Astyanax mexicanus: one gene and its partners. The protein of the gene in region 2 binds, or shares a complex with, the protein of the main gene of each other region. Links are inferred from orthologs where the notes say so. Each region holds a gene or a part of one and is shown on either strand. Other genes may lie near its edges. The genes, in order: med21, med1, retinoic acid receptor beta and med24.

Region 1 (7,187 bases), on a different chromosome or scaffold from region 2:
ATATACCAGCTGGTTTACTCTAGTGTTGCTTTTGTGGTTGCTAAGGTATCCCAAGTGGCTGCCATTGCTTTGCTTTGACAAAGTGACTGTTACGATATTACAGGTGTTTGCATGACATTTCTTAGTGGTTGCTAAGGTGCTGCTAAGTAGTTGCTAGGCAGTTGTTATGATATCCCAGGTGCTTGTTAAAGTGTATCAGTTTATTGAGTGTCCTTTTACTACTCTAATTAACCCATTCTGCAAACCTGTTAACCAATTTTACAAATTACTTATCATAACTTTAAGCAAATTAACAAATACATTGTAAAATGTTTAACCAATAATCAGGTTTCCTAACAACTCTCAAAATCTCATGAGCATTCATAATACAAACCTGTAAAGCAGCGGTAGATTCTTCACTAGGCAGCGAATCGATCAACACATCAACATCTTTCGCTGTCCTTGCAATCAGGGCTGCAAAAAGCTGTGCATATTCTGTGGCAAAAAAGACACAGCGATTAGCCTGAAGCAGCATGGAACAAACAATCACATTGGTTTGAAAACATTAATAACTGCCTGTTAAGCTTTAATAAATGTGTCACTGTGAGATGATGAGAATTTGTTTGGACCTTCTGTGGGGTTTGATGGCTGGTCCTTGTTGATGGCTGTCTGAATGTTGCTGAAGGAAGCAGGTGGCGCACATTGCTGCAGAACTCCAATGGCATTGCAGAACTGATCAGCCAACTACATCACGCAAAATCAAGACAAACATAAAACTGAAATTTTACTGCATGTAGAACTCAAATAAAACCCCCCCAAAAAAATCACAATTTTTGTAAATCACTCTGACTTTTGGGTGTGGAGGAATCTGATCTGATAACATATAAACTCTTACATTAATATTGTTTTCTACCAGCTGCAAATCAAATGATATAGTTTATATTGAAACACTAACATGTATACTATTTTTAGCATATGTTATTGTAGTGTTTCTGATGAAGTGAGTAGAGTCACACATGGAACTGATGAGCTCTGTCTGGCTTTAGTTACTACTGAGCCTGGTGTGGTTCCACAGTAATGAAGTTGGTTTAATGAGAAGTCTGAAGAAAGGAGAAAGGTGGTCTGGGACACCAGACTTGACTGTTGAGACTTTTAATGGTGTTGCATGCTTTATTAGGCAGAACATTTATGAAGGTGATAACTAGAGCCTCTGAAGTAGTGGGTGATTAGAGTAAGTAATCTATTGTAATGTAATTCCGACTAGTAAGAACTGTAGTTTTGGACATCAATATTATTATTATTAATCTCAAATTATATTGCACATATACTACAAATATCCTAAATGCACTTCCACCAGTCAAAAGTACAACCCTCCTTGACACAATGTATACCCTCAGGCAACAAACCATTTTGTTGTTTTTTACACAATAGCATACTTTACCTTATTTACCTAATAGTTAGTTTTTTTTTGGAATGTTACAATGCATGTCTACTTCAAATACAATAATGTGTATGTGTGGGCCATAAATAAAAATATTTATGTGCAAGATATTCTTTTATTCTTCTTGTAAAGTTTCTAAAACAGTGTTTTTTCCGCTGCCTTCGGGCAACATTGTGTAATAAAGCAGTGGCTCTCATTTCCTGCTAAAATTGAGATAGAGAGCCAAAGAGGTGCTGATTAAACATTGTTAATACTCAATATTCATTTTACAAATATGTGTACATAAAGTCTTTCCTAGTCAGATAGTGAAAATATCTGAAGATAACATTAGTAATGTAGAAATCAATCAATGTTAAGCTACATATAACTAGTCAAAATGACACTGTGTCATTCTGGTAATATGACTAGTCAAAATATCTGTATAGATCAGTAGGTCTGATATCATTACTGGTAAACATGTCATTACTGATATTTTCACATTTTTTTAATGTACATGTTTTAAGATTAAAATCCTAATGTAATACAAATAATAGAACAACAATTTCAAAACTTATTTTTAACATTTTGTTGTAGCAATTACTAATCCTACGGAAGGTAAAACATTTAATCAAAGCAGTTGAATTGTTAAATTAACGGTTGAAACAAACCCGTAGAATTAAAAATACACTTTTAAAATGAGCTAGTTATATCTCCAGCACTCCTACATTCTCTAAACGAGGTCAGATGAATGAACTGTGCTGTAATTCTGTCAGGATGTTTAGTAGCTAACCTATGTGTCACTAAGGGACTTCATGAGATAAAATGACTGAGAAAGTGCTTTACTTGACACATCATTTAATGGGTCTGTGAGACGAGTCACCATGGGCTCTTTTGGGTTAACTAGTAAAACCTAACCCATCTAAACGAGCTAACCTATCTATCTATCTACATTGAGAAGGTCCTGAATTGTACCTTTTTTCTGGTAACTTAAGTACTGAGCTCGAGCTGTATCACTACTGTCATTTTATGCTAAACGACCTAACAGAAATTAGCTTAACGTCAGTTAGTGTAGCCTTGTAAGCTAGCGTAGTAGTTAATACAGTAGTAATACAGAAAACATTTAAAGATATTAGGTCTTGTTTCGGAGAGACTAGCTAAGTTATTAACTTAGTTAGATACCGCGAATATCTGTCATGCCAACAAGTCTGGATTTATCTAGCGGCGACCAAACGTGTCTAACATTAATGAACTAACTAACATGTATTATTGCATAGCCTATCTTTAACATGTCTAGTTGGCCGGCTAGTTACTCCTCTAGCCCATCATAGCTGTAGCGTTAGCTGTATCTGGCTAACGCTCGCCGCAGTTTCATTTCAGTCATGAGTAAAAGAACAGCAGCACCTCCCATTCCCCACAAACACACCAACTGAGAACTAGACCTGCTTTTTACCTCACACAGTGCGACATTCGTAAAGAATTAACAGTTTAAAACACATAATTTTGATCTTACTGAGTTGACTGCGTCCTGCAGCTGTGTTAGCCTGTCCGCCATCTTTTCTGGTTATCGCCCCCCGCCGGCCGGAGGGCTAACGTCGCGGGCGCGCTCACGTGACCGTGGGGGCGAGATGGTGAGAGCGTGAGCGTGAGTGTGAGAGAGTGTGAGTATGTACAGGAGAGAGAGAGAGAGCGCGGGCTGACAGTGTGAGAGAAGGAGAGAGGGAGCGAGCGGCGGCTGGTGGTGGTGGTGTGTAGATCATGCGCCAGGCCTGCTGCTGCTGCCGGAGGAGGCTCGGTGGAGGTCTGCTGCTGCTGCTGGCCGTGTCCGTTGTGTGTGTCGGGGATCCGTTCCTCGGCCCGAGGGGCAGAAGATGAGCTCTGTGATCGGGAGAAGAGCTGCTGGAGGAGGTGGAGGTGGTTTCTGCGGTTTACTGTTTGTCGTCCTTTCCTGTCTTCGGGTTCTGCAGGCGCAGGATGAGAGTAAGTTTCTCTTTCGGGCTCCTGAGCTCTGTTTACACACTTGACAATCCGCATAGGAACACAAACAGCAGCTGCGATTTCTGCTGAAGTTTCGGCTGAGACGCTTTAAACTGTTAATCTGAGTAAACTAAGATAACATAACCTGGCTGATCTGTGCAGAAACCGAATAGAACTAGCTAGAAGTGAACTAGATTATTTTAGCTGTCTGATTGTGTATACATGTAGGTTAATTCTGAAACGGACCTCTTGTGTATTATTCGAGATTTGTTGAATATATTTTGTATTTTATTTTTTTAGGACCACCTTAAATAGATCCACGAGTAACTACAGGCTGTAGCTCAGTTCACAGCGCCTGAGAGACAGAATGGGGGGACTGCTGCTCCATTTAAGGTGGACTGACACAGTCGAACATGGAGACACTTGGGGTTAGCTAACTGTTAGATAGCCAACTCTTGCCTTTTTCATGTATACTGTTAGCTAGCTATCTTGTAAAAGGCTTACTTTAAGACTGTCTCTCCCTTTCTCTCGTCTTGTATATTAATTTACTTTATTCTGACAGTAATTTGGCGGGATTTGTCTGTGAGCATTAACCCTCACGTGAGCGTGATCTAATGGTCAATAGTAATAGTTCAAAGCAGTGGTTAAACCATTTCAGTGTCCTTTCTATTAGGGTTGCGCGATAATATCAGAATTAAATAACTAAATTGGTATGGGCCAAAATGTCTTTTTTTTTATCACACTCATCTGACCATTTGGGTGATATTTCAAACCGTTTGACGTATTTATTGTATGTAAAAAAGGAACCAAGAAACCCTGGCCACACTAATATAATTGGCTGACATTGGCCATGCTACTTTAAAATCCATTAATGTTTAAAAAAGGGTTTAGAGCAGTGAGTCTAGGTGAGGACCAGTTAAGTAAATGTGAAAGCAGAAAATGTGAAAACAAATTAAATTGTATTGTTAGCATACAGCTGGTTGAAAAAAAAGCAAATAAATGTTACATTTGTTTCCAAAGTTATACTAGAGTGTATAGTCTTTCTCTCTGTTATAAATGTGTATATCGGTATCGGCAGAAACATAATGTCAGATATCGGCCTAGAATTCCGACGTGTGCATCCCTACTTTTTATTTTGATATTATTTGAGCCAAATTTGTCTTCTTTAGATGTGAGGTTTCTGCCATAAATTTTCTGTCCTGATAGTCTAACAAGAATAAGTTCTTGCTTCTTTACTTTATATTATATTATTGTTAAAAATATGAAACCACTGTAGATCATAAACTGTTCAGAAGAACTAAGTTATCTATATACATTTATGTGTTTTTTTTCTGGGTAGTTGAACAGTATTTATGTACTCCAAGGACAAAGGTATTGAAACTTACTACTGATTAACTGATTCTTCAAAAATCAACACACATTCTCAGCTCCCCATTTTATGCCAAATGTACTGAATTACTACTCTAGCCCACACCTGGCATTAGGCATGCCAGTAGGTTTATGTTTTTTCTGCTCCAGAGAGTCCTGTTCTATTGACAGTAATTCTCTGCAGGGACTAGAAAAGCTGTGTGTGTATTTGCACATTTGTGTCAGCAATGGAGACAACATAAAGTGGTTTACTGCAGTCACTGGAAGGCCTATAACTAGAGCTGGGCGATATGGGAAAAAATCTTATCACGATATAGTTTTCCATATCAGTCGATATCGATATGTATCACGATATAAATCAAATCACTTTGTGTCACACTTAAAGGTTTGTTTTTATTAGTGAGAGAATAAGGGAGTGATGGAAGTTTTATCACAATATTTTTTTCTGTATCTCCATAATTATTAGGGCTGGCCCGAATAGCATTTTTTGAGCTCCGGATATTTGGCAGTAATTGGTAGCGAATATTCCAATATTAGTTTAAAAAAAAAAACAAATTAATCATGAACGCGAGCCAGAACCCGAGCTTGAACGTCAGCCTGACTCAGGCGCTGCATGAACTCGGGCTTTTTTCCAATTTTTTCCAATTTTCCATGACTGAAAAAAAACTTGGGCTATAAGCTCAATATTAAATATTTCGTTTGTTTAGAAATTATTTTATATTCTTAAACCATGTTAAATTATATTAGATTAGTAGGGCTGGCCCGAATAGCGTTTTTTGAGCTCAGAATATTGGGCACTGATTGGCAGCCAATATTGGAATATTTGTTTTTAAAAAGACGGATTAAAAACTGATTAAAGTAAAACAAAAATTGCAACTCGGCCCCTTTAATTCACCACAAAGTTTTCCAAGACCCAGCCGGAAAAAAAAAGATTTCCCACCTTTTCCTCAGCTGGGTCGGGCTCAAAAAATGATTTGTGATAGGCTGTTTTTTGGTTTGTTTGTTTAAGCACTTAGGCTTTTGTACTGCTGCAGTGCAATATTTAGATTTTATATTCTGAAATTCGTTAGGTTTTATTTCTTTTAGCATTTTGAACTTTTTTTCCAATTTCAAATTTATTTTTTTCTGTTCGTTATGTTCTATCGGTCCTTGCGTTTTTTGTAGTTGAAGTTGAATTTAATATTGAAGTTCAATATTTCTAATTTATATTTTGAAATTCGTTAGATTATATTTATTATTGTATTTTGAGCTCACTTTAGTTGGTTATTTTCCAAATTCATATCTATTTTTCTGTTATTATTAAATGTTATTAGCTTATTAGCTTAGCTTGTCATTTAGCATACAGAACTTCTCACGGATTTTTAATGAATGTTGATTTATTAATTTAAAAGCTGTACCTTATTAAAAGTATTTTAAGCCAGACAGACACTGTGTGATTTTTTAATGAGTTTATCTGCACTTTTAAATGGTTTGTCCTGTAGGAAACGCACACGATTTGTATGCTGACACTGTTGTCTGACTGAGGAGCTGCTTTCCGTCAAATGCAGCCTGTAGGCAGGAAAAAATCCAGCCAGAACCGACCATATCATGAGCCAGTTTTAAAGCCAGTAATTTAGTAGAGCATTAAACTACAAATCTGAGATGTACCTGCTGTACTTCTTAATCTCTGCCCCCAAAACGGTCCATTAACTTGCTTGACAGACGCGTCAAATCCCCCGCGAGCACGCGCGGCGCACAGCGCACCGATTAATTCATGCGTTGAGCTTTAAACGCGCAGCTGAGCTGTAATTGGGGAAATATCACAAAAATCACAGTGTGATTTGTTACATTAAAAAAAAAGACCATTTTCTTCCGCCTAATCTGAGAGGAAAGCGGTGTTCTCGACCGGCCCGAGTTCATGCAGCGCCTGAGTCAGGCTGGCGTTCAAGCTCGGGTTCGGGCTCGCGTTCAGGCAGATAATCTAAATGATAAATGATTTTGTGTTTTTGCACTTGGGCCATAAGCTCAATATTAAAAAGTTCGTTTGTTTAGAAATTATTTTATATCCTTAAACCATGTTAAATTATATTAGATTAGAGGAAAGTCATTTAGACATCATTCTTAAGGTGTTTTTGTCCTGTTACCGCTCCGCAAAAAAACCTCTTCCTTTAATCCGCGCCCCACATACACATTTTTGCAGCACCTGCCCCGAGGTCCTAATATAAATTGAATTAATTACATTTAGTGCTTAAAATTTACTTAAAATTTATTTAAAACGTGCTGAACAGTGCGGCCGTTTATTCCCAAAGTGTGTCGGGCCATACTCCACTATTCTTTAGGGTTTTTTGTTGCATGCATGAGAATAACTATTACAATTTTCTTAACTATTTATTAATTTGCTCCAGCGTCTTCTGGATTGATTACACGTTGTGTTTTCGTTGTTTGCCGCGCCACTTAGACGGAAATG
Region 2 (6,833 bases):
GGAAATTGGTATTTTTAAATTCCAAGACTTTTCCAGGTTTTTCATGACCGTATGAACCCTGGTTTACTTGCTCAGTGAAAAACTTAAAAACAAATAACCTTCATACAAACAGTGGTTTTATATCACAGTGTTCATTAAAACATCTCCACAGCTCTCCATGCAATATTTAGAATTCTCATCATATCAGCAGCTGGTTTAGTAAAATCAGAGTGTGCTGATGGTAAATCAGCTGCTGGTGGAACTGAACACATCCACTGGGACGCTGGCTGGGGTTGACCAGGAGAACCAGGAGGAATCAGGGACCCAACTTTGCTGTTTAGACTTCCTCACAATATCTCCACTAATTTCTTCAGAATAAGAAATTCTGGTTACTTTTAACTGCATTTATGTTTACCTGCATCTGATCTAATGTTTTTACAGCAAACACTCTCCTAATGTTTAAATAAATAATTTTAAATGATTAATATAGAGGATTAGAAACTAAAAAAGCACAGATCTGTATTTAAAAATTACATTTGTTTGAGTTGTGATAACCAGTAAAGCTTTACCTTTTAGTGCCTTCTGTAGTGTCTCCAAACAGCTGAGCAGAAGCTGGTGTCCGGCTGAATTCATCACCCCACGCTTTTCCTGAGCACAAACAGAAACAGTGTTAAAAAACAAACAGAGACTGTATTAAATGCTCAGTTACTCCCACCACTACAGTCCCTTTAGCCCCTTTGCTCTGCTCTCACCATGGCCTGTCTAACGATCTTGCTGGTCTCCTGCCAGGGCCGAGCGGCATTGTGCTTGGCGTGTAATCTCTCCAACAGGGCGGACACCCGAGTCTGCTTCTCTGCCTCTGAGGGGACAGACAAAACACAACAAAACAAAAATTAACAGTAAACAAAACGCCCTTGACCTGTTGTCAAATTTTTGCAAGTAAAATTATAACAATTAAATCACAGCAACTAAAATCATATCATTTAGACTATACAAGCTATACAATGTTGAAAATGTACAAAACGTGTTCCTATCTCTCCTCAGCTATCGGTACAAGGCTGACAGTCAGTATTTGATAACCCACTACATAAGAACACAGGCAACATTCTTTTCTGGAAATCATTGTTTTGGCCCCAGACATTGTATCCAGAGTGAGCGGTTCAATCAACAAATGCAGATTAAAGATGCATCATGCAAAAAAATAAGACAAATACGGGAAAATATTCACAATTCAAAAATTTGCCTTTCATAAAATATGGGTCTATGAGATTTGCAAATTTTTTTTTTAGTATCATTGTCAATTGCAACACTTTTTCTGCCAAATTTGGAGATCTAATTACCCAAACCACTCATTAGGACTCCCAATATCACTGGTAATCCCCTCAACAGTGAAGACCAATGTGGTGGCACGCATGTGCTGCTGACCCACATCACCATGGGGAGACATCATGGGCAGGGGCAAACATCATGTGGTGAGAGAATGCTATCTACCCACCCACAGAGAGCATGTCCCAACAAAAAACAAACAATTTTAAAGGCCTTAATGAATTTGCCTTAAGTCACACTCACATCAATCCCTGTTATAGGTGAAAAGGTTGATCGGCTGTGTATCAGTATCGGATGACTTGAGCTCCACAGTGCAGTTCTGTATAGTGATTCACAGACTTTGAGCTGAGCTAATGTTATGTTAGATTATTGTTATTATTAGAATTATAACTTATTTATATATTTCTACGATACTAAGATATTTCTAAGATATGCCCCTAAACCACTGATAGGGCCATCTCAAATTCCTGTAATATTATTCTACAGACCACATGAAATCCACATGCTTCTTTCACACTCAGATGATGCTTCTGTATCTCTCAATATGTCCTGAAATTATAGTTGCATAGTGGAAAAAATTACACTATTTTTGTTGTTCTGCAATGTTTATTGTGATATTCAACTAATTTTAACAGATTTCTCCAGAAGTCAAATATTGAATTAAATGTTAAAATCATAATAATGCAATCCACGTATCCACTGATGAAGTAAAATTAATGATACTGGACAGATGGAAAATAAGAAGTGTGTTCATTTTTCTTTCATATTAAGCAGTAAAAAGTAAAAAAAACTGACAATAAACAGGATACTGATACTGCTACTTCTTGTCATTACATATGTAGGATGGGTCTCGCTATCCTTCACACTGATTGGTGTGAAAATTGATGTCAGTTTGGCGAGTTGTCTTTCCATCATGTTTCCAAGTCCCTTTCAAGTGAAGGTGCATCCCACAGCAGAACTCAGAAATTAGATTCCACTCAGACTTAATTGTATTTCTGTTTATATATAAGGTGTCAAAATATTGATTAAGGTGGCTGTAATGATGGGACAGATTTGTGAAGCTGGGTCCCAGTAAAAACACACTTACGAAGCTATTCATGGCCCATATTCACCAGTAACCCACCTGAACCATGTTCCACCTATTGGACCCTGTTGACCGGGTATCTAAACTTCAAACCTGCGCTGTTCTGTTAGTTGGGTATTTAGCAACCTATAGCTAACTAATCAGCGAATCACTTTTAACAGTTTCTCTTTTAAAATACTATATGTCCTTTTATACAGACACCTTGCCATAACCCTATATATAACTCCCACATCTGGAATCCTTATAATAAGTAACATTATTATACAGAATTTATTAAATAGGCTGCCCTGCTCTTCAATTCATAACAGCAACAGATAATGCTAATGCTACTGCTAACACTAATGCTGGTATAGCTTGCTCTGTTTGTTAGCTAGCTAGCTAAGCTAGGCTATGTGGGTAAAAGACCCAGCTCAGTTCGGCTGGTAAAGCGCGGTAGATAGAGATACGCTGGTTAATCCGGCGGGTGAAAGTGATCCGCACACACGTACCGGTTCCCTCCTCCACCCTGAGCCGCTCCGCGGGCCCTGGGACCGCGGCGGTGTTTGCAGGCTCCGCGGCGGGGCTGCAGCCGGCTAACGGCACCGCCGCCATCTTCGCTCCCTCACGGCCGGTGTGACGCAGCGAGGGCGCCTGAGTTTGGGTCTGTCCCAAATCTCACAGTAAAAGTGCTGGGCTGTGTTCCAAACCTCCCACTAAGCTCTAAATTCAGGCTTTAGGGGTTTACAGGGAAAAAGCAGAGATATTCTTCTGTGTAAAACCCGAATTACCCACCTTCTTTAATGCAAATGTTAAATCAAAGCTTTCTGTCTGAAGTGTTTAACTCTATTAAAAAATAACATTTACTTAACATTGTGAATTAGGTTTTTTCCCCCAATGATGCGCATTATATGGAGGAGATAAACATGCTGAAAGGAATAAAAGTTCATCATATTTGTATATTTTTATATATTTAATACAGTAAACACACTTCCATATTAGAGCAGGTCATATTGCTAGTATATTCTAGAGGAGGTCTGAAACTGAACACAGAAGACCAAAACAGAAGAGGCCAGTTCAGTCCTTCAGTTAAAGAATTTTCGCTGTGGCTGCAAAAAGGCAGAATAGAGGAAGAAGAGAGTGTAACTGAGCGAGAGACCGATTGATTGATTAATGAGAATTTACTCATTGGCGCAAGCTACGAGATAATAAATTGTTTGGTTACCAGATACAGATCTGGCCAGCTTCTTGTTGGAGGAACGATTTATTTTGTTACGCTGTGTTATATAATCTAGTCTAGCTTGCCTCCTAAAGTTTTTACATTATTTCATGATGTTGTGGTCCAGATTTGGGTAATTAGGGCATAGATATTGCACATATTTTGATCCAGATTAGAATTTTTACTGATACTTTGTTTAAGTTTTACTATGTGTAATGTTTTATTTAGTGCTTCTGTGTAGTCATGTAATCATATTCTGTTTCATCATAGCTGTAGACACTGAATGTCTTGGTTGAGTCATCTTTTTTACCAATAAAGAAAACCTGTCATGCAAAATGACACAGACAAATTATCGCTACAGTTCAGATAGCTCTCTTGTGTTGGAGATGTACTGGCTCTGTGTCATTTCACTCTTAAACAGAAGCAAAAGAATGGAGAGGCTCAACCCTTACCTGGACATGAGTTACACTCTGCAACTGTAGGGGGAGCCCATGAACAAAAATATTAATCTTATCCAGTGCCCATTTAACACTGGAAATGAGTTTTTTAACAATGTAATTTGTTTCGTACCGTCAAATACAGTTTATCTCATTAAGAAAGCACCGTATCTCTATTTCTGTAGTAGAAAGGGAAACTTTGGCACAGCTAGTCTAGTAGGGGTGTTTTAGAAAGCTCTGCATAAAGGTTCCCTTTTCTACTGGAAGGGCAGAAGGGCATCCATATATGGCACTATGACACATTATCAATCATTCTAGGCCAATCGTTAGCCATCTAACATTTATTCACATTGATTTGCAGTGAATGTGAATATAAAGAGAAACCTTTTAGACAGGAGAATTCATTTCAGACAAACCAAGTCTCCCTGAAGCTGCGGGAGTCTCCCGCATTTCGGTAGTGGCTCCCTGATACCCGCGAGTCACATATAATCTCCCGGAATTCAGAACGAGTGCCCCAAACGCGCACTGCACACAAACACGCACACAGGCGACAGACTTTTTTTCTCTAATCGCGTGTGGGAGAGAGAGAAAACAGAGAGGCTTCTGATTGGCCTGTTCTCTGCAAAGAGTCTGTGAGACAGCCAATCAGTTTTTTTTAACCTCCCTGAAATCAACTTTTGCAACTTGGGATGTCTGTCATTTAATCTTTGAAACAATGAATGCATAAGAAAACCATCTTTTGCAATATTGAATATGTAAGAAAAAACATATAATATTTGAAACGATAAAGCCAGGTTCTGTACCCATAACCCTTTAACAGTATTTGTAAGTTCATATCAAATGAGTTTGAGGTCAGTCTGGATACTGTAGAACTACTGTATCGCTTGCTTATTGAAAGTGCTTTATGTTATAACAGTTTGGTTTGGGACTGATGAGATTAGTAAAAAACTGGTAGGAGAAAGTCAACAACAGTACTTAAAGAAAGGCAATACAATTTAGAAAAGGATACACTTCACCCTTTCAACTTACAATTCTAACAGATGCCATCAGGCAAATGATGATGCCAACAGCTACTAGTAATATTCACAGGCGATTATTTGTACCAAATGCAATAGAAATTCTGAATACATCAGTTGTTTAATTTGTTTTGCAACTTTTTTATTTTAAAATATGTGATATGTTGTAGATATCTTTGTGCCATGAGTGACCAAAGATTCATTTTCACATTTGGACAATAAACACATTCTATTCTATTCCGTTGTAAAATGTTTTACAACATGATGCTTATTTTAGATAAGAATACTTTAATCACAATATGAAACTGATAGTAGGGTTCAGTGATCGGCTGATTATTGCCATTTTTTATAGGGCAGGACAGCTTTAACCAGCACATCCAATCTCATCACATCCAGGATTTACATACTTTTCCCCCCTCACTGTGAATGTAACATGTTGTGTTTAGTAAAACCGTGCAAACATATAATTTTATTGTGTAGTATGTCTTCCTCTTCATGTAAGGGAGTTTTTCCATGCCACTGTTGTCGCAATAATAATTGTCATGTCTGTGGTGCTGCTCAAAAAAGGACCTGTTTTTCTCTGTAAAGCTGCTTCGAGACAACTTTTGTTGTAAAAAGCGCTATAGAAATTAAATTAAAAATCAAATTGAATAGTCAGAGACCCCTCTTCTGTATTCTCCTATCTTGCAAAAAGAGTCTGTAAAAAGTACTAACACCAGGGGTGCCAATAATTGTGGAACACATGATTTCATTTAAAATATTTTCCCCACCAAATAAAGGCACTTGAATTGCATTGTTGTCCTATAATTATAAAAAAAATAGTCAAATTGACACAGACAAAAAAAAAGTATTGTTACTGTGGGTGTCGTGATCAATTGTGTGTACATAATGGAAATATCACTAAATGTGTGGCTGAAATGTGTGAATAGTGTGAAGGAAGAACATGCATGGAAACACCAGCATCATGTGGAGTAATTAATATCATGTTGTATCATAAAATAAACAGTGTATTATCATTATTTGGATCTAGCTAATTCATGGAAGCTGTCCTGTATTTAGTTGGTTTGGTTAATGGTGGTAATTACAATACATAGGTCAGGTAAATGCTGTAAATACTACACTAAATATGTGACTGAGTTAATGGCATATTCTGTACTTTATTTAGTAATAAGTTAAACATAATAAAAGAACAGTTGATCACATTTTGTTGCATTATTTATTATCTCCTCTGGATATCATTAAAATGTACTTTACTGAGGATGCTGTGGAAACCCTTTGGAGAAAAGTTAAGCTAGACTGTTATTTATATTGCACATTTTATTTGTCAGTATTTTCCCATATTTTGTGTTTGTTTTAAATAAACTGTAAAAGAGATTATGTTGCTTGAAAATCAGTTGTGAAAATATATACATAATATATATACATAAATAAATATATACATAAATAAATTATAAATATAAATATAAAATGTTAAATCAATTATATACATCTGCTGTCTAAATATCTGCATTGGCCAATAAAAAAAACAATATCGGTCGATCTCTAGCAGGGTCTTTGACTGCTAGTTTTCAGTACCAGGGGGAATGTCCAAATTCACTATACTGTAGTAGCACAATGCAAACAGAGGAGGGCAGCATTGGCAGACATGTTGAAGCTGTAAGGACGTGCTCCAGTGAAAGACGCTGAGTACCTAGAAGCATATTTTTTTCTTAGAACAACCATCCCATAAAATGAGCATCAGATAACAAATAAGCATATGCCTTTAAAAAGCCACCAACATTCGCCTGGCGATGCTA
Region 3 (7,939 bases), on a different chromosome or scaffold from region 2:
GAGTGCAGCTGTAATGCTGCATACAGTATTATTAAACAAGGATTCTTACAAGTAAATAAAACAAGTGACAACTATAAAACTTCTAAACTAAAAGTACAATTCGTATGAGTTTCTTTGATTTTACCAAATTGAAAACCTCTGGAATATAATCAAGAGGAAGATGGATGATCACAAACCATCAAACCACCAAACTGAACTGCTTGAAATTTTGCACCAGGAGTAAAGCAGCATAAAGTTATCCAAAAGCAGTGTGTAAGACTGGTGGAGGAGAACATGATGCCAAGATGCATGAAAAAACTAAAACTGTGATTAAAAACCATCAGGGTTATTGCACCAAATACTATAGTTTATAGAATAAAACAACAATGTTCATTTTACTCAAATATAAACCTATAAATAGCAAAATCAGAGAAACTGATTCAGAAACTGAAGTGCTCTCTTCATTTTTTTTCCAGAGCTGTATATGTTATATATGGCTACATGATATAATGCTGTCGTGTATACATAGATAAAAACAAGTTGTGACTACGATGTAATGTTCTTATTATTAAGCATGTCATGTAAAAAATATCTAATCTAATAAACAAAATAGAAATGTATGCATGTAATCCGTTTGCAATATATTTAAATTAGGGATGCACAGAATTTTTGAGAACTCGAAATATTCAGTTATTTCCGCATTTGATATAATGAACAAAATCAAACAGTGACTATATTATTATATTATATTATGTCATATTGCATTTTTTCCCTAATATGTTTATTTTCAACAGGCCCCCTTCTCTGGTGGTGTTGCATACAAGAAAGCTGCTACACACAGTGCCAGTAGGGAGTGTGGGAGAGAGCTGGCACAGAGCTGATAAACAGCAGGTTTAAGTTCATTTTTCCAGTTAATAAAATGAAATGATATAAAGTCTTCAGCATCGTTATTAAATTTAGAATCTGTTTACACACAGTGTATTACCCCTTCACAAAGTGTATTTTATTCATCTAAAAAGTTAAGCTTGCACGAGCTTTTACAGGACCAGGGTAGTAGTGTTTAGCTGAGCAGTAGTGCAGTTAACATAGCCCTAGAATTAGCTTGTTTACCTTGTTAAAACTCACTTCTGAGTTACTGTTGCTTTTTTGTGCTTTCAATATTGCTTTAACGTACTGTAGCACTGTCAAATTCTGCTGTGCAGAACATTGTGGCACATAGAGAAATGGATCGGTGCTCACAGAAAAAAATGAAATAAAAAATCACATGCATGCAAACAGTGACTGAGTGCTGCGGGCTTTAATTTACAATGTGAATGTCCTTTTAAATTTCTTTTTTATTTATTTTTTTATTTATTTAACTTCTAAATCTACCCTCACGTTACCTAGTTTAACCTCATCTCTCTCTCTCTCTTTTCTCTCCTCTCCCTTCTACATTCCTTGTTTTGTATCCTGATTTTTAAAAAAGCCCTCTTTGTTTTCTGAGTGTTTTGTTATTAGGATTTAATGACATGTAATATGTTTAATTCTAAAGCAGTGGAAGCAATAGGCTTACATTTTATATTGTACATTTCTTGTACTTTTAAAATGTATGTGTTTAGATTTTTTGTTATAAATGTTTAGTGTTAAATAAAAAAAAAACATTTTTAAAAGAGTAGTTTTATCATTCCGTTTACTTTAAATAAGAAAAATATACAAAAAATTTAAACGATTCAAAATTAAAGTTAATTAATTTAAAATTCAAAATTAATTTTAAAAACTATTAATTTTTAGAAACACAGTAATTCTTTCTATATTCGCACCAATATATGTTTTTGAGATTGTTGCATCCCTATTCTGCCCTATACTAAATGTATGCACAATCTTCAAATAACTGTCACCGCTGCATATGTGCACGCATTAATTAATTGGCCGCGGCGCGCGTGCGTGCGCCAATTAATGAACTCATGTCATGTCAACACGCAGCAATGTCATAGAAAGAAGCGAGCGTCATATCAGCAATCAAGCAAGGTCACGAGCGGTCCGACCAACAACACTAAAAACAAAAAAATAAAGTGTGTGTGTGTACGAGTGTGTGTGAGACAGGGACAAGAAGAGACATAGAGAAAGTGGAGAAAGTGTAAAGGACTTGACCGTACAGTGCGCGCCGCCGCGCCGGTGATGCCAGTCTGCGCGCGCGAGCCCTCGGAAGCACGCCTTCAGCGCCTGCTCCTGCAGCATGCACGAGGACGGGGGCGGAGGGTACAGGTCCAGCATCTGGCCCGGGCTCACCGCGAGCACGTCCATGCAGTCGAACATACCGGGGTCCACTCTGTGTCCCACCTCCTCCCAGAACCAGCAGAACCACCAGAACCAGAACCAGAACCAGGAGCAACAAAAACAACAACACCAGCACGCACGAGCACCAGCTTTGTAATTCACGCGCGCGACTACCGGACCTACTCCCGGTCCAAACTGTCCCCCAACTCCATCCAAGTCCTTGTTCTTGTTTTTCTCCGGTGCTTCTTTTCCAACTCACGAGCTGGACCTTTTAGCACGCGCGCTCCCTCTAAAAGCCGATGCGCGAGCGCGTGTCATCCTCTGTTTTTGCTTTAAAACAAGCACAGAAACAAGCGAATTCAACATCAAACTCTTTTCTCCTCTTTTCCTTCATTTACAAAATCACGTCTCCGAGCCTAAAAGATGACGAATGGGCTCATCCTGCCTCCGCGCGAGCTCTGTTTCCTACCAGTACGGTGTCGCGCGCGCGCGGAGTGAGGGATTGAATCGCCTAATGTATGCGGCTGAACTTTCCGTGAACCCCTCCGAGGCGGCTACCCTTCAAATGACCCCAGCGCTCTGACATCATCACCGAGTCCCGGGATTCTCACGCACAGAGAGAGAGCGCGAGCGCTGCGGAGCCACACCCGCATTCCGGCACGCCACGCCTCCTGCGTGCTCCCATTGGCTGGAGCGTTCGCGCCTACTGCAGTAGGATTGGATGGAATGACTAAAATCGCAAAACTCAGAGTCGCTGCCGGCCACTCGCAGCGATTATGGGCGGGGATTTGTGGTGACGAGGGCGTGGTTTGGCGATGAGGGGGCGTGGTTTGTATGAAGACGGGTGGAAAACAAAATAACACAGAATAAAGAGATAGAGAGAGAGAGAGAAGAAAAACACAACACTCGATGATAGCCTAGTTTTTTTGTTGTTTTTTTGTTGAAGAAAAAAAAAGCTTCAAAAACACTTAAGATATTTTTTCGGAATATTTTTTACAAATAAAATATTTAAATATATTTATATATTTTTTGGTTTCTTCACCAATGGGACATGTTTTTTTACGCGCCTAGACAGTCTGAAAATATGAGGGCAGTATAAAAAAGAAAACAAAAGCAGGAAAAAAACAACCCACCCTTCTCTGTGATCTTTTTGGGTGTAAACAAGGTTTTTATTTTTGTGAAAGGCTCCCATACATTTTCTTCACCGTTTCTAGAATGTCTAACTCTTGTGTAATAATAATAATTCAGGGTTTCTGCATATATTTTACATTCAAATTAAATGAAATTTAATGGCCTTATTTTCCTTCCTGTTCATTCTCTCTCTCTTTCTTAAGGCAATTTAAATGTAGTAAATGTATCTAAAATATCTACAAATATCTAATACTATGTAATTTATAAACACAATTTGCTCTACTATATTTATCAATCAAAACAATCCAACACCAGAATGAATCAGGTATAAAAAAAATACACTTAAAAACACTAAAACACTAAAAAAAAAAATCCTTAAGATTTTTTAAGAATATTAAAAGCTTGAGAAAGAAACACTAACAGGAACCAATAATCTAATGAATTAAGATTTAAAAGCAAGAAACTCTTAGAAAATTATGAAGAAACACAGTGAAGGAAAAAAATAAAAAGTTATTAAGAAAGGTAAGAAAAAAAAATAGTGCACGTAACAGAAATACTGATAAGACCCAAGACCCAAAATTTTACTTCTAAAAAGCATAAGGATGTAATCCAGATTTTTAAATGCATTACAATAAAAAAGTGAAACAGACATATTAAAAACTATAAAATACATTACAAACACATTGCCACAACTGCAAACAACCGTACCTGTTCAGACCTTCACACACACACACACACACACACACAAACACACACGCACACAATTCTATACAGAATATATCTGATGTTTGAAGTATTTAGAATATTAAAAACGATAAAAAAACCTTTAAAACCGCATTAAAAATACTTCATATAAAACTGACCAGCCCCCAAATTAGACCTTTAGCCTATGTTCACACTGACAGACTAAAATGCCTGAAATCACATTTTCTTTACCTTAAAATGACACAGATCTCCTTACACATGGCTTTGTTTTGTTTTCCTACCCCATGTGCTCTGCCCTGTCTCTGCTCTAGCCCCACCCCTAGTCATTACTGTTGTTGCCTTGTGTCTTGTTTTTAACCCCGCCCCCTCGTTACAGGTCCCAGGTGTTCCTCACCCTCCTTGTGTACTGAAGCCTCTTTGTTTTTTAACCAAACATAGTATTCAAACACATAACATACAAAGCTACAACACATACCCCATTCACACATTTGCTATTTAAACAGCACAATTATAACAAGATGACAAAAATAATAATAGCAATAAAAATAATAATAATAAAATAAAATTCATGGTGCTATTGTCAGCATCAACATCAAACACTTTGACAACATACATTAATCTTCAAATAGTTTAATGAATAGTTTAATGGATCCTCTTCCATAAAACGCCTAAATTGACCCCAGATCTCCCTTAAAATCTCCCTAAATTGACGTGACTTCTTAATTGCAAATGTTAATTTCAACCACTGACCTAATGTGGGTGCCGACATACTTTTTCATTTACAAGAGATCCAATTTTGATAACTTTGTTGCATGGTCTTAGATTGTATATATATATATATATATATATATATATATATATATATATATATATATATATATATATATATATATACATATATGATTAGTGGGCATGCAACATGATTAAATGTGTACATCAGATCAGATTTCATGCATCTTAGAAACAGGTCACTTAGATTTATGAATGTGAAACATCCAGATCTAATCCGAGTAAAGATATGTGAATTGATTAATGAGGCTTGTAATGTGAACAAGCCTCGTCTTGTCTCTCTTTAGTAACAGAGGGGGTCTGGAATCGCTCCATGACTCTCCAAACACCGCATTAGCTCCCGCTCCGGCCGCTCGCTTGTCCCTCTTCCAACTCACACAACTTTATACCCAGAGCTGCGGCGCTGCTTAATCCACCAAATTTAGAAACCAATTTCGCAGCTACCGGAGTCGCTTAGGATATAAATGATGTTCCTGAAGCTGAGCAAGACTTTAATCTTTAATCTTCACTGCTTACGAGTGCACATGTGTAGCTGCCTATGCCTATGTGTGTGTGTGTGTGTGTGTGTGTGTGTGTGTGTGTTCTGCTAGACAAGAGGAAGAGTTTTAGAAGTTTTGGTTGGTTTGGATTAGTGCTCTAAAGCCCATCCTGCACCAATAAACGCTAAATATGTAATAAAAGGAAGGAAGATACAACAGAAAATTTACATTAAATTTGAACTGTGTTCCAAAACTGCAGCACAAACTCGACTTTTAAGGGTTAAAACCTCACCCTGACCTGAATTCTGTTCAGACAGTACTCTGTGGTGTGAATGGTGTAGCTGGAGGAATGTGACCGCACACACTCATGACTGTAGTGCAGATAAAACAGAAGACAGATAAGGAGGGAAGTCTATTCAGTTCACTCTTTATTCTACTGAAGTGCAGCAGTATATATGGAGTGTGTCATTTCTGTAATCGTAGCCTAAAGGAACGTCTGGCCGGCTGCATGTTCTCGTGCGCGGCTGTGTGTTATTGGCTGGATAGTGTGAAATTAAAAGCAATTTAAACACGTGAATCAAACTGGCTTTTAAAGTCATGGTAAAAAGTAGAAACGCTGCAGAGGCTTAACTACAGTAACGTCCAGGAGTTATAAGAAGGCATAAAAACATACCATTCACCTACATGCAAAAAGGCTCTGTGTAAATTGTGAGATTATGAGGTACATGTAGTGTAAACTACTGAAAGACACTCGCTGAGCCGTCGCTGACTGACCTCTGATCAGTCGAAGACACAGCAAAAATTTGGCATGCTAGATATCTGACCCAGTCGGCGACTGGGAGCCAGGAGCAGCGGCCAACCTACAGCTAATGAGTGAGTCCTCTATGAATAGAGCTGAATGGAGCTAAAAAAGCCAAAAATGGTGGCTAACTACAAAATATTCTTCTGAGTATTCCTTTACATTTAGAAAGTAGAATAATGAATGTTTCTTAACAAAGCAAATAAACCATTATTCCATTATTCTACAACATTCAGGGTTTAGTCAGTAGAGATGCTATCAATACTGCAATATGAGCTGATTGGTTGGTGAACTAGAGCCTTTAGAGTTTAAAAGGCTTTGAAATTCTGTTTGCAGTGTTGAAACATTTGATATAGTTCTGTGTTTAGGATATAAGTACATGTTTTAGTATAAAATTGATCAGACATTTATAAATTTATATGAAACCGTTCATGTTGGACTCACTTTAAGTGCGTATTCTCCTCTCTATAGAGATTTTCTAGCATAGCATCGATAGTTCTCGAGTGTGTTTAGTTCTGGTGTGTTCTGGTCGTGATGAAACGTGTTTTTGGAGAGCAGTCAGGTGAGTTGGAGATTTCTCACAGTGTAAAATCGTGTAATTTGTGGCTTTGTGTCATCAATCAGTTCTTTCCTGTAAAAAAAAAAGTCTCAACACCGCAATGACTCTCGATTACAGCACAAAAAGTTTACAGTATGTACCCCTGTACAGAGAGTAGTGCTATTCCAGGTACAGCATTTTCATAAACAGTAAATATGCTTGAGAAATCAATCCTACGCTTTAATACTGAAGCAGATTCATTTCTGTGAGTAATATTTTGAAAGGCTGGGGTGCTGATCGTCAGTGCAGGCGGTGTATAATATCTCCAGGCATGTTGAAAAGAAAACATCCATGCTAATTGATGATGATTTAGTTTCCATTCTTCTCTGAGCACCATTACGTTCTGCAGCACCGTGTTTCTCAGAGGCGAGCTCGGTTTCGAGGCGAGATCGATCCTCCGCTGCTTTATGAATAATGGAGAGACTCGACAGAGGAGCTGAAAAGAAAACCCCGATCCCTCCTCCCTCCACTGCACACGGTCCCTGACCCCCCGCGGCCCCCGCGCTGTAACTCTAGCCCTCCTCATCGCCCTCTTCTGCAGACGCTCTCTCCCCTCCGCAGCTCAGCCTTCAGCCCCGCCAGGTAATGGATCCACCTGGAAATCCACCTGTAATTAGAAAGTGATAATGAACCGCTCCATCAAGATAAGCCACTTTTTGGCATCGCTGCTCAGCGTCTCCGTGTGTCGCGTGCCAAGACTCACTCGAGCGAGACGCCAGACAGCTCCTGATCATTTAATAAAGTCGGACGAGACCTGACGTCACGGGAGGGACAGCACCGACACAACACAGCGAGATTTAGACAAGATTTAACTGATTTAGAATAGAAAATTTGACCAATCTACAGTATACAACACAGCAGGGGTCTGGCCAGATATTTTCCATTATGTGGCCACAAAAAAAAAATCTGTTTTGGAAAATAAAGTATAATGAGGTGTAATGGGATTTAGTGCTACACACTAGTAGCTCTCCAGCCCAGAGGTTTGTTGAACCCAACTGCAGAACAGTTGATCTCAAAGCAGGTAAACCCAAGAAGAAAAGAAATAAAAATAAAAAAAAACAAACACACCGCTCCTCACATGGAACCCAACTTGTGTCGTCAGGGTCGCGCTCCAATACACTAACGCTGCCCTGGCTAGTGAATTGGGAAGGCAGCCGAAGGACAAAAACGAAGGACAGGACGCCCGAGAACAGGCGGAAACTA
Region 4 (6,879 bases), about 18 Mb from region 2:
GAAAGAGCTTCAAACACGAACACTAGATCAATTATTTATAAATACAGCCAGACTGCGTGGAAGATAATTACTACTGTAGAATCTGTAGAAGTTTAAACTGCAGAGCGAAGCAGAGCCGCGGATACGAGGTATAAACGCGCTCCGCTGCTTAGCTGGATACACCTGAACATTCGTTCTCAAACCTCCGCAATTTCAGATCATTACCTTATTTCATTTAAATAGCATCTTAGTCATAATATACGTACATCCCTTAAACATAAAATAGAGAGACAGAAAAAGCTCGCACCGTGGTACAATGATCAAACTCGTACGTCAAAGCAGTTAGTACGAAATTTAGAGAATATTTTCACTCTGCGTGGAAAGACCGTCTTGTTAAATATAGAAAAGAACTTAATAAAACCATAGAGCTAATATAATCCTAGAGCTCTCTTTAGTGTTATTTCCAAATTAACTAAAAAACAGACAGGTACTGAACCTCAGACCCCAGCCATTCACACCAGCAACGCTTTTATGGACTTCTTCGATAGTAAAATTGAAAACATCGGGATAAAATTAAACAGATAAACAGCACTTTCTCTCTGTCATCTGATGCGGCTGATCTAGAACAAAACCCTGTTACGGAAGTTAGGTTGGAAGCCTTTAACCCATTCCACAGCTAGAACTAGAGAAAATCATCTCCTCTTCAAACAGCTCAACCTGCACACTTGATGCAGTTCCCACAAAATTACTAAAACAGGTACTACCAGATATAATTAAACCTCTGTTAATAATAGTAAACTCATCGCTCACCCTAGGCCATGTACCCAAAGCCTTTAAAATAGCTGTAATTAAACCTCTGATCAAGAAACCAAATCTTGATCCTAGTGTACTGTCTAACTATAGACCTATTTCAAACTTACTGTTTATTTCTAAGATTTTAGAAAAAGCTGTGGCCCAACTACTTTGCTCTTACCTTAAATTTTCATTGTTATGCGGATGAAACGCAGCTCTTCATTTCAGCCAAACCTGATGACAGAGTGAGATTAAAGAAAATCATGGATGTCGCACAACTTCCTCCTATTAAATAGTGATAAAACAGAAGTTCTCCTAATATGCCCAAAGCTGCTAGAAATAAATGATCAGACTTAATGCTAAATCTGGCCGACTTCTCCATCACACCTGGTTCAGCAGCTAAAAACCTTGGAGTTATTATAGATTCAGATCTAGCATTCGATAAACAACATATTTAATGTTGCTAGAACAGCTTTTCTACACCTCCGTAATATTGCCAAGCTAAGAAATGCCCTATCACTGCATGACGCAGAAACATTAGTACATGTCTTTATTACCTCAAGGCTAGATTATTGTAATGCGCTACTGTCTGGATGTTCCTGCAGTAACTTAAATAAACTTCAGCTAGTTCAAAATGCTGCAGCCAGGGTCCTAACTAAAACTAGAAAATGTAAGCATATTAATCTAGTCCAATCATCACTGCACTGGCTTCCAGTCAAATTCCGCATGGACGATAAAATTCTCCTGTTAACGTATAAAGCCCTACACGGGCTCACTCCTGAGTATTTGCGAGACCTCATCTCCTATTATGAACCACTGCGATTACTTAGATCTCAGGGTGCTGGTTTCTTAGTAGTTCCTAAAATTCATGCCTCCATGTCTATGTTACTTTCTAGATCTGCCGGAGACATTAGCCACACTCTGATAATGTTTTATATTCTCTGTTTTACATAAATCCAGTCAAAACTAATTCCATCTTTCTGCCTTCCTCCGAGTTACTGACTGCCCACCTGTCTGACCCAATACCGATGGATCTTGGACCCTCAGGCTCTCATGTCCCCTGTCTGGCCAGACTGGAAGTTTCTGAAGTCAGCTCTTCTCCATCCACCACAAATGCATTTTGTTGAACCAACATGACTTTATTATATTATTTTAAAGCTATTATTTTATGTAAAATATAGTATAACTATTACAGGAGAGCTTTGGCATACTTCATATGAAGATTGTATTTTTGCAAGCTGATCTATTATTTACGTAAAACATTTTGTATATCCCTAAACTGCCTAGTACTTTACATAAACATTTGCAGAAAGTTTTAGAAACTTTTCACACAGTTTGGAATCAATCAGTAATTCCTGGTATCCAGGATCAAGTTTTCACATTTTTCCAAGTTTTCCAGCTTATAGAGTTATCAAACCCCTGAAGGAGTGTGTAATTGGGAAAAACACCAATATGCAGACCATGAGGGGGACTTGTGCTCTATCTATCTTTGCCTAATACTTGCAAATTAAAGTATGATTGTCACTCAAAATGTTAATGAACATGAAATAAATAAATAGAAATTTAAATTTTAATAAGTTTTAAGTGTGCTTTGTTTGTGTCATTTTTATAAACTAACTAATCTCCGGACATCAGCTGGGAAAGGGCGAATGCATAGGCCTATTAGTCAAATAGAAACGTTAGTAAAGACCCTCTGAAAATAAAAGAAAGTTTAAGACCTTAAGGGAAAAAGATCTGCGTTTTAAAACTGGAAGACAGGATAAGCAGAAATCCAGCTTGTTTGGTGGGAGGAAGTGGAAGCTGCCCATTTCAGAACCGGAAGAACCTTCATTAGGATATTTTGGTACAGTGAGTGGAAGAGTCAGTGTTCAGGACTTCAATCATGGTTCTGGAAAACTGGAATGTCTCCGCTATAGATGGAAGGTTCTGGTACCAGCTTGGCAAACTAAAGTAAAGGAGAAAAGAAAGGAGGACATGGACAGTAAAGAGGACAGCCAGCAACAGTAATATAACAAAAATGACTAAAGATACATTTAGTGAGCGTATAAACATGCATTTAAATAATGAGATAGCTAATTAGTATATTGTTTGTTAAATGTTTATGTATTAGCTTCAGCAAATATGTACATTAAACAGTCACATTGGCCCCAATGACCCACTGCATGAGGACGTTTTTTAAAATAACCATTGTGAACCAGATTCAGAATAAGGAAACAATCCAAAACCATCCTATTCTAACAACAAAGCTACATCTGGTTACAAGTTGAAAAACTCTTCAACAAAAATACCAGTAATATCTGGACACTCTTATCAAATCAGCAATGTCTTTAAACTCTACTGATCTATTATTGCTAGGACATAAATGTGAAGTGGCCACAAAAAGGTTTTAAAAGAAACACACACAAAAAAACATTTGCATATATGTTCATATAATTCTTACTTTTTCTGATTCATTCTTAGATCTAAATCATAATTTTGTAACCGAGAAATCATGACAGAACCAATTTACTCACTTTTGCCAGCAATATGAGAGAATCTTTTCAGCACAGCTCAGTAAGAATGTCATTCAGCTTTTTGTGGTTTTACTAAAGCCATCAAGGCTATAAGATGAATCTTATCTGTTTATCACATTCACACAAACAATAAGCTTCTGTAACAAACTGCTGATTATTACTATAAGTTTTATTTTTTATCTACCAATAGTTCTAAGCTTCAAGAAAGAGTCACCCAAGAGTCAAATAAACTAAATTTTCCGCAGGTGCTGTAGGTTTTATCAGTCAGTGAATAACGATTGTTCTTTATGTTTTAAATTGACTGAATGTATCAGAATAATGTTGTTAAGAGGTAATGAAAGCTTATAGCCTGCAACAGGCATCATACAAGCATTTGGGTTTGTTCAACAACCTAAAACAGACTTGTTTATGGAGTTTTGACTGTACCTTTTCAGATGGGATTCTGCCTACCACCTCTTTACCACTCGCCATGAGCGCTCCCATCACAGAGTAGGCCACAATACTGCCGGGCAGAAAAACATACTGAGTTGCCGCCATTCTTTCGAATTGGTCAGTTCTTCGCGCCTGACACTCTGGCTGAAACTCCTATTTTTTAGAAAGGTAAACAGGAGGAACTACAGTTTGTATGTTTTGAAATGGTCTTATTTTTTTTACACTTTTAACATTATTTATGGGATATTTGGATAATTTTAAACCTATTTAGTTAAATAAATAAATTAATAATAAAACAAACAAAAACATAGCTGTAACAAACAACAGTCAGGTGACCCCTAAAATATTTAATGAAGGCAAACTGAGACCAACAATGATGGGGTTGGGGTGCTTTATAAACGAAAGCTCCTTTGAATTTTGGGAACTACTAGTAAACCAGCACCCTGTGATTTAAATAATCATGGTGGTTTATAACAGGATATGAGCTCATAACAATAGTCTAGCCTTGATGTAATGAAGGCATGTACTAATGTTTCTGTGTCATGCTAAGATAAAGAATTGTTTAGCCTGATAATGTTACAAAGATGCAAGAAAGCTGTTCTTAGATATGTGTTTATCGAATGCTAGATCTGAATCTATGATAACACCAAGATTTGTTGGCAAGATTTAACAGTCTGATCATTTCTTTTTAGCAGCTTTTGGCGTAATAGAAGAACGTCGGTTTTATCACAATTATGTGGTATTGATAATGAAGCATCGGCTAAAAGCGCAGTATTTCAGGATGCCGAGGGTGAACGAAGGTGGGCTATTTGACTAAAGTTCGTATTTCTTATTATGTTTCACTACACCCCAATTCCAGTTCACACAGCATTTCTCCTTTACCGCATTTTCGCCTCACACTAAAGATAGTGTCTTCCTGACCTGTAGGACAGGCTATAGCTGTGTATAAGAAATACATCAACTTTTTGAGAGAGATTTTATGATTAATTTAAAGAATTTGGTTTACGTGGAGGTGGAATAATCTTTTTAGCAACCAAAGCTACTTGGGACACAAACAATCGATAAGATAAATATGATATAACGTTTACATTTAAATAGCTAAAACAAATATGTATTAATGCATCAATATGTAATAAACTATTTAGAAGTTTTAAATGACTTTTTTTATTTACGTTTTTTAAAACAGTGTTTTTCTGTTGTTGCCTCAAGACAACATTATTATAAACTCTCTCTCGCTCTTTCTTTCTTTCTTTCTTTCTCTCTCTCTCTCTCTCTCTCTCTCTCTCTCTCTCTCTCTCTCTCTCTCTCTCTCTCTCTCTCTCTCTCACTCTGATATTGACATAAAAATAAATAGGAATTCCCGGATGTTTTGCGCAATTTGGAATTTTTACATCAAGAGAACATACCTGGGAAAATACGTCTCTTTCAGCGAAACCACTACATACCTTCCGCACGCACAAAAATATATTAATAAAATGTAAAAAATTAACAATAAAAAACAGTTTGAATTCCAAGCTCATCTGTCTGCTGATCGAGCTCGGTCACAGCCAACCAACCGCGTTAGAGCACACTCAGCGCGCTGGACCAATCACAGCGCGTGTTACTGTTTCCAGTATGGCGCCGGTGGTAAGCGATTGAATTGAAAAGCAACATTAAATCTAATCTTCAGTCAAAGAATAAAATCAGGTAAATCACCCTTGTACTATATTTATACTATAATGAAGATAATAATGGTAATAAAAGGCTGTTTAGATATCAGTTTAATCGTTAATATATGCGCGCGGTGTGTGTTTCTCTGTGCTCCTCTGGTTGGTGGGTTTGTTTGTTGATGTTGAGACACTCACTGTTCTGCGATTATTTATGTTATTATAATAACTGTATCGTTGAATGTGGGGTATTTAGAGTGAGAATTACACTGAGGTATCGCTGCGTGTGAAAGATATTTTATTAATAAACTCTGGAAAGTCATTTTCCTACTTAGTGTGATTTTTCTTTTATTACGTAGCGGTATATATCTAACGTTAACATGCTCCATATTTCTCATTTAGGTCACTATTGAGAACGTGTCCGAATCGTAAAGTGAAATTGGAACGTGATTTTGAGGGCACTATGAACTCCCACAATACTGTTTATGCTGTCTATACACTAACGTACAAGTTTTTGAAAAGACTCTGAAAATAAACATAAATAAATCATAGTCTGACACCCTGTCACATTTAAAGAGAAGTCTCTCACTTTTTACAGATTTTTAGTCACATGATAAGATTTTGCAAAGACTGGGGATCACTATTTACAAGACTGCAACTAGATTGTTTCTGAGATCATTTCCCATCATGCTTCTGCTGGAGTTTAGATACAAAACATACTACATATTAATCTAAAAATAATCTGTATATCAATACTGTGAGTTATCAGAGACCCACAACCTTTGTCCCCATCAAAAGTTTATTTTTTTGCCGCACTGTTAGTGTGTTTGTTTTGTGTTTAAGCTTATAAGCTTCTTTTCCCCTATTTTTTGCAACAACTTTGAATATTTAAGAAACACAGTTTCCCTGTTTTACATTTTCCTTTGTTTTAGATAGATTTAATGTAATACAAAACATCATTCTTGCTAAATGTGTATTTATTAAATAACACTGCACAATAAGGCAAAGTAGTGCAAAATGGAATAACTGTAAATATAATGACTTTAAAGTGCTTCCTGTGTTTAAAATACTGTACATATTAAAGTTAGAGCAATATAAGGTATTTTAACTGCAGAATGTGTTCTTTTTCAAGTCGTTTGTAAACAGTTACGTAAAATATTATTGCTTTGCCTCTTCCGTAGCTCTCCTATTGGTTGTTGATATTGTTCACGTCACTATTTGCGTGAGCCAAGTATCAAGATTTACGATAACATTAAACACGGTTGATTTTATCTATTTTATCACGGTTGAATGCCAGAATGAGACAAAGACTGACTAAAACTTTTAATCCTAATCCTAACATCTTTGCAGAATGAAAGTGGTGAACCTGAAGCAGGCCATTCTACAGGCATGGAAGGAGCGCTGGAGCGACTATCAGTGGGCCATCAACATAAAGAAAAACTGCCCCAAAGGCGCCACGTGGGATTACCTCAACCTGGCAGGTGGGACTAGGATTATTTCAGTGCCAAAATATACCA

The links.
Region 1: med1 (region 2) and med21 share a complex: the UniProt entries of both Homo sapiens proteins name them as parts of the mediator complex. The link is inferred for Astyanax mexicanus from reciprocal best matches to the Homo sapiens genes MED1 and MED21.
Region 3: the proteins of med1 (region 2) and retinoic acid receptor beta are in contact, whole or in part, in a crystal structure (PDB 1XDK), measured with the Mus musculus proteins. The link is inferred for Astyanax mexicanus from reciprocal best matches to the Homo sapiens genes MED1 and RARB. Residues at the interface, in NP_001073587.1 of Mus musculus: His642, Pro643, Met644, Leu645, Met646, Leu648, Leu649, Lys650, Asp651; in NP_001276689.1 of Mus musculus: Ile264, Val267, Lys271, Phe276, Ile281, Gln284, Ile285, Leu288, Lys289, Pro435, Leu436, Glu439, Met440.
Region 4: the proteins of med1 (region 2) and med24 are in contact, whole or in part, in a cryo-EM structure (PDB 8T9D), measured with the Homo sapiens proteins. The link is inferred for Astyanax mexicanus from reciprocal best matches to the Homo sapiens genes MED1 and MED24. Residues at the interface, in NP_004765.2 of Homo sapiens: Phe375, Asn377, Gly436, Leu437, Gln439, Glu441, Ser453, Asn459, Asp460, Ser461, Leu462, Val463, Cys464, Tyr480, Lys481, Gly482, Asp485; in NP_055630.2 of Homo sapiens: Lys7, Ile10, Trp14, Lys15, Arg17, Leu47, Ala50, Met51, Ile52, Gly53, Pro54.

Annotation. Positions count from the first base shown.
Region 1 is NC_064409.1:37,875,366-37,882,552, forward strand, and holds the start of med21 (mediator of RNA polymerase II transcription subunit 21), read right to left. Parts: upstream 3,015-7,187; 5' UTR 2,952-3,014; coding exon 2,910-2,951; intron 724-2,909; coding exon 609-723; intron 475-608; coding exon 374-474; intron 1-373. Other genes in the region: tm7sf3 (transmembrane 7 superfamily member 3), read left to right, coding at 3,268-3,376. UniProt on the Homo sapiens protein: Component of the Mediator complex, a coactivator involved in the regulated transcription of nearly all RNA polymerase II-dependent genes.
Region 2 is NC_064422.1:3,176,757-3,183,589, reverse strand, and holds the start of med1 (mediator of RNA polymerase II transcription subunit 1), read right to left. Parts: upstream 3,002-6,833; 5' UTR 2,981-3,001; coding exon 2,878-2,980; intron 839-2,877; coding exon 732-838; intron 628-731; coding exon 549-627; intron 1-548. UniProt on the Homo sapiens protein: Component of the Mediator complex, a coactivator involved in the regulated transcription of nearly all RNA polymerase II-dependent genes.
Region 3 is NC_064410.1:607,250-615,188, reverse strand, and holds the start of retinoic acid receptor beta, read right to left. Parts: upstream 3,001-7,939; 5' UTR 2,275-3,000; coding exon 2,115-2,274; intron 1-2,114. UniProt on the Homo sapiens protein: Receptor for retinoic acid. Retinoic acid receptors bind as heterodimers to their target response elements in response to their ligands, all-trans or 9-cis retinoic acid, and regulate gene expression in various biological processes.
Region 4 is NC_064422.1:21,445,754-21,452,632, reverse strand, and holds the start of med24 (mediator of RNA polymerase II transcription subunit 24), read left to right. Parts: upstream 1-3,863; 5' UTR 3,864-3,884; intron 3,885-5,244; exon of another isoform or gene 5,245-5,402; intron 5,403-6,712; 5' UTR 6,713-6,713; coding exon 6,714-6,843; intron 6,844-6,879. UniProt on the Homo sapiens protein: Component of the Mediator complex, a coactivator involved in the regulated transcription of nearly all RNA polymerase II-dependent genes.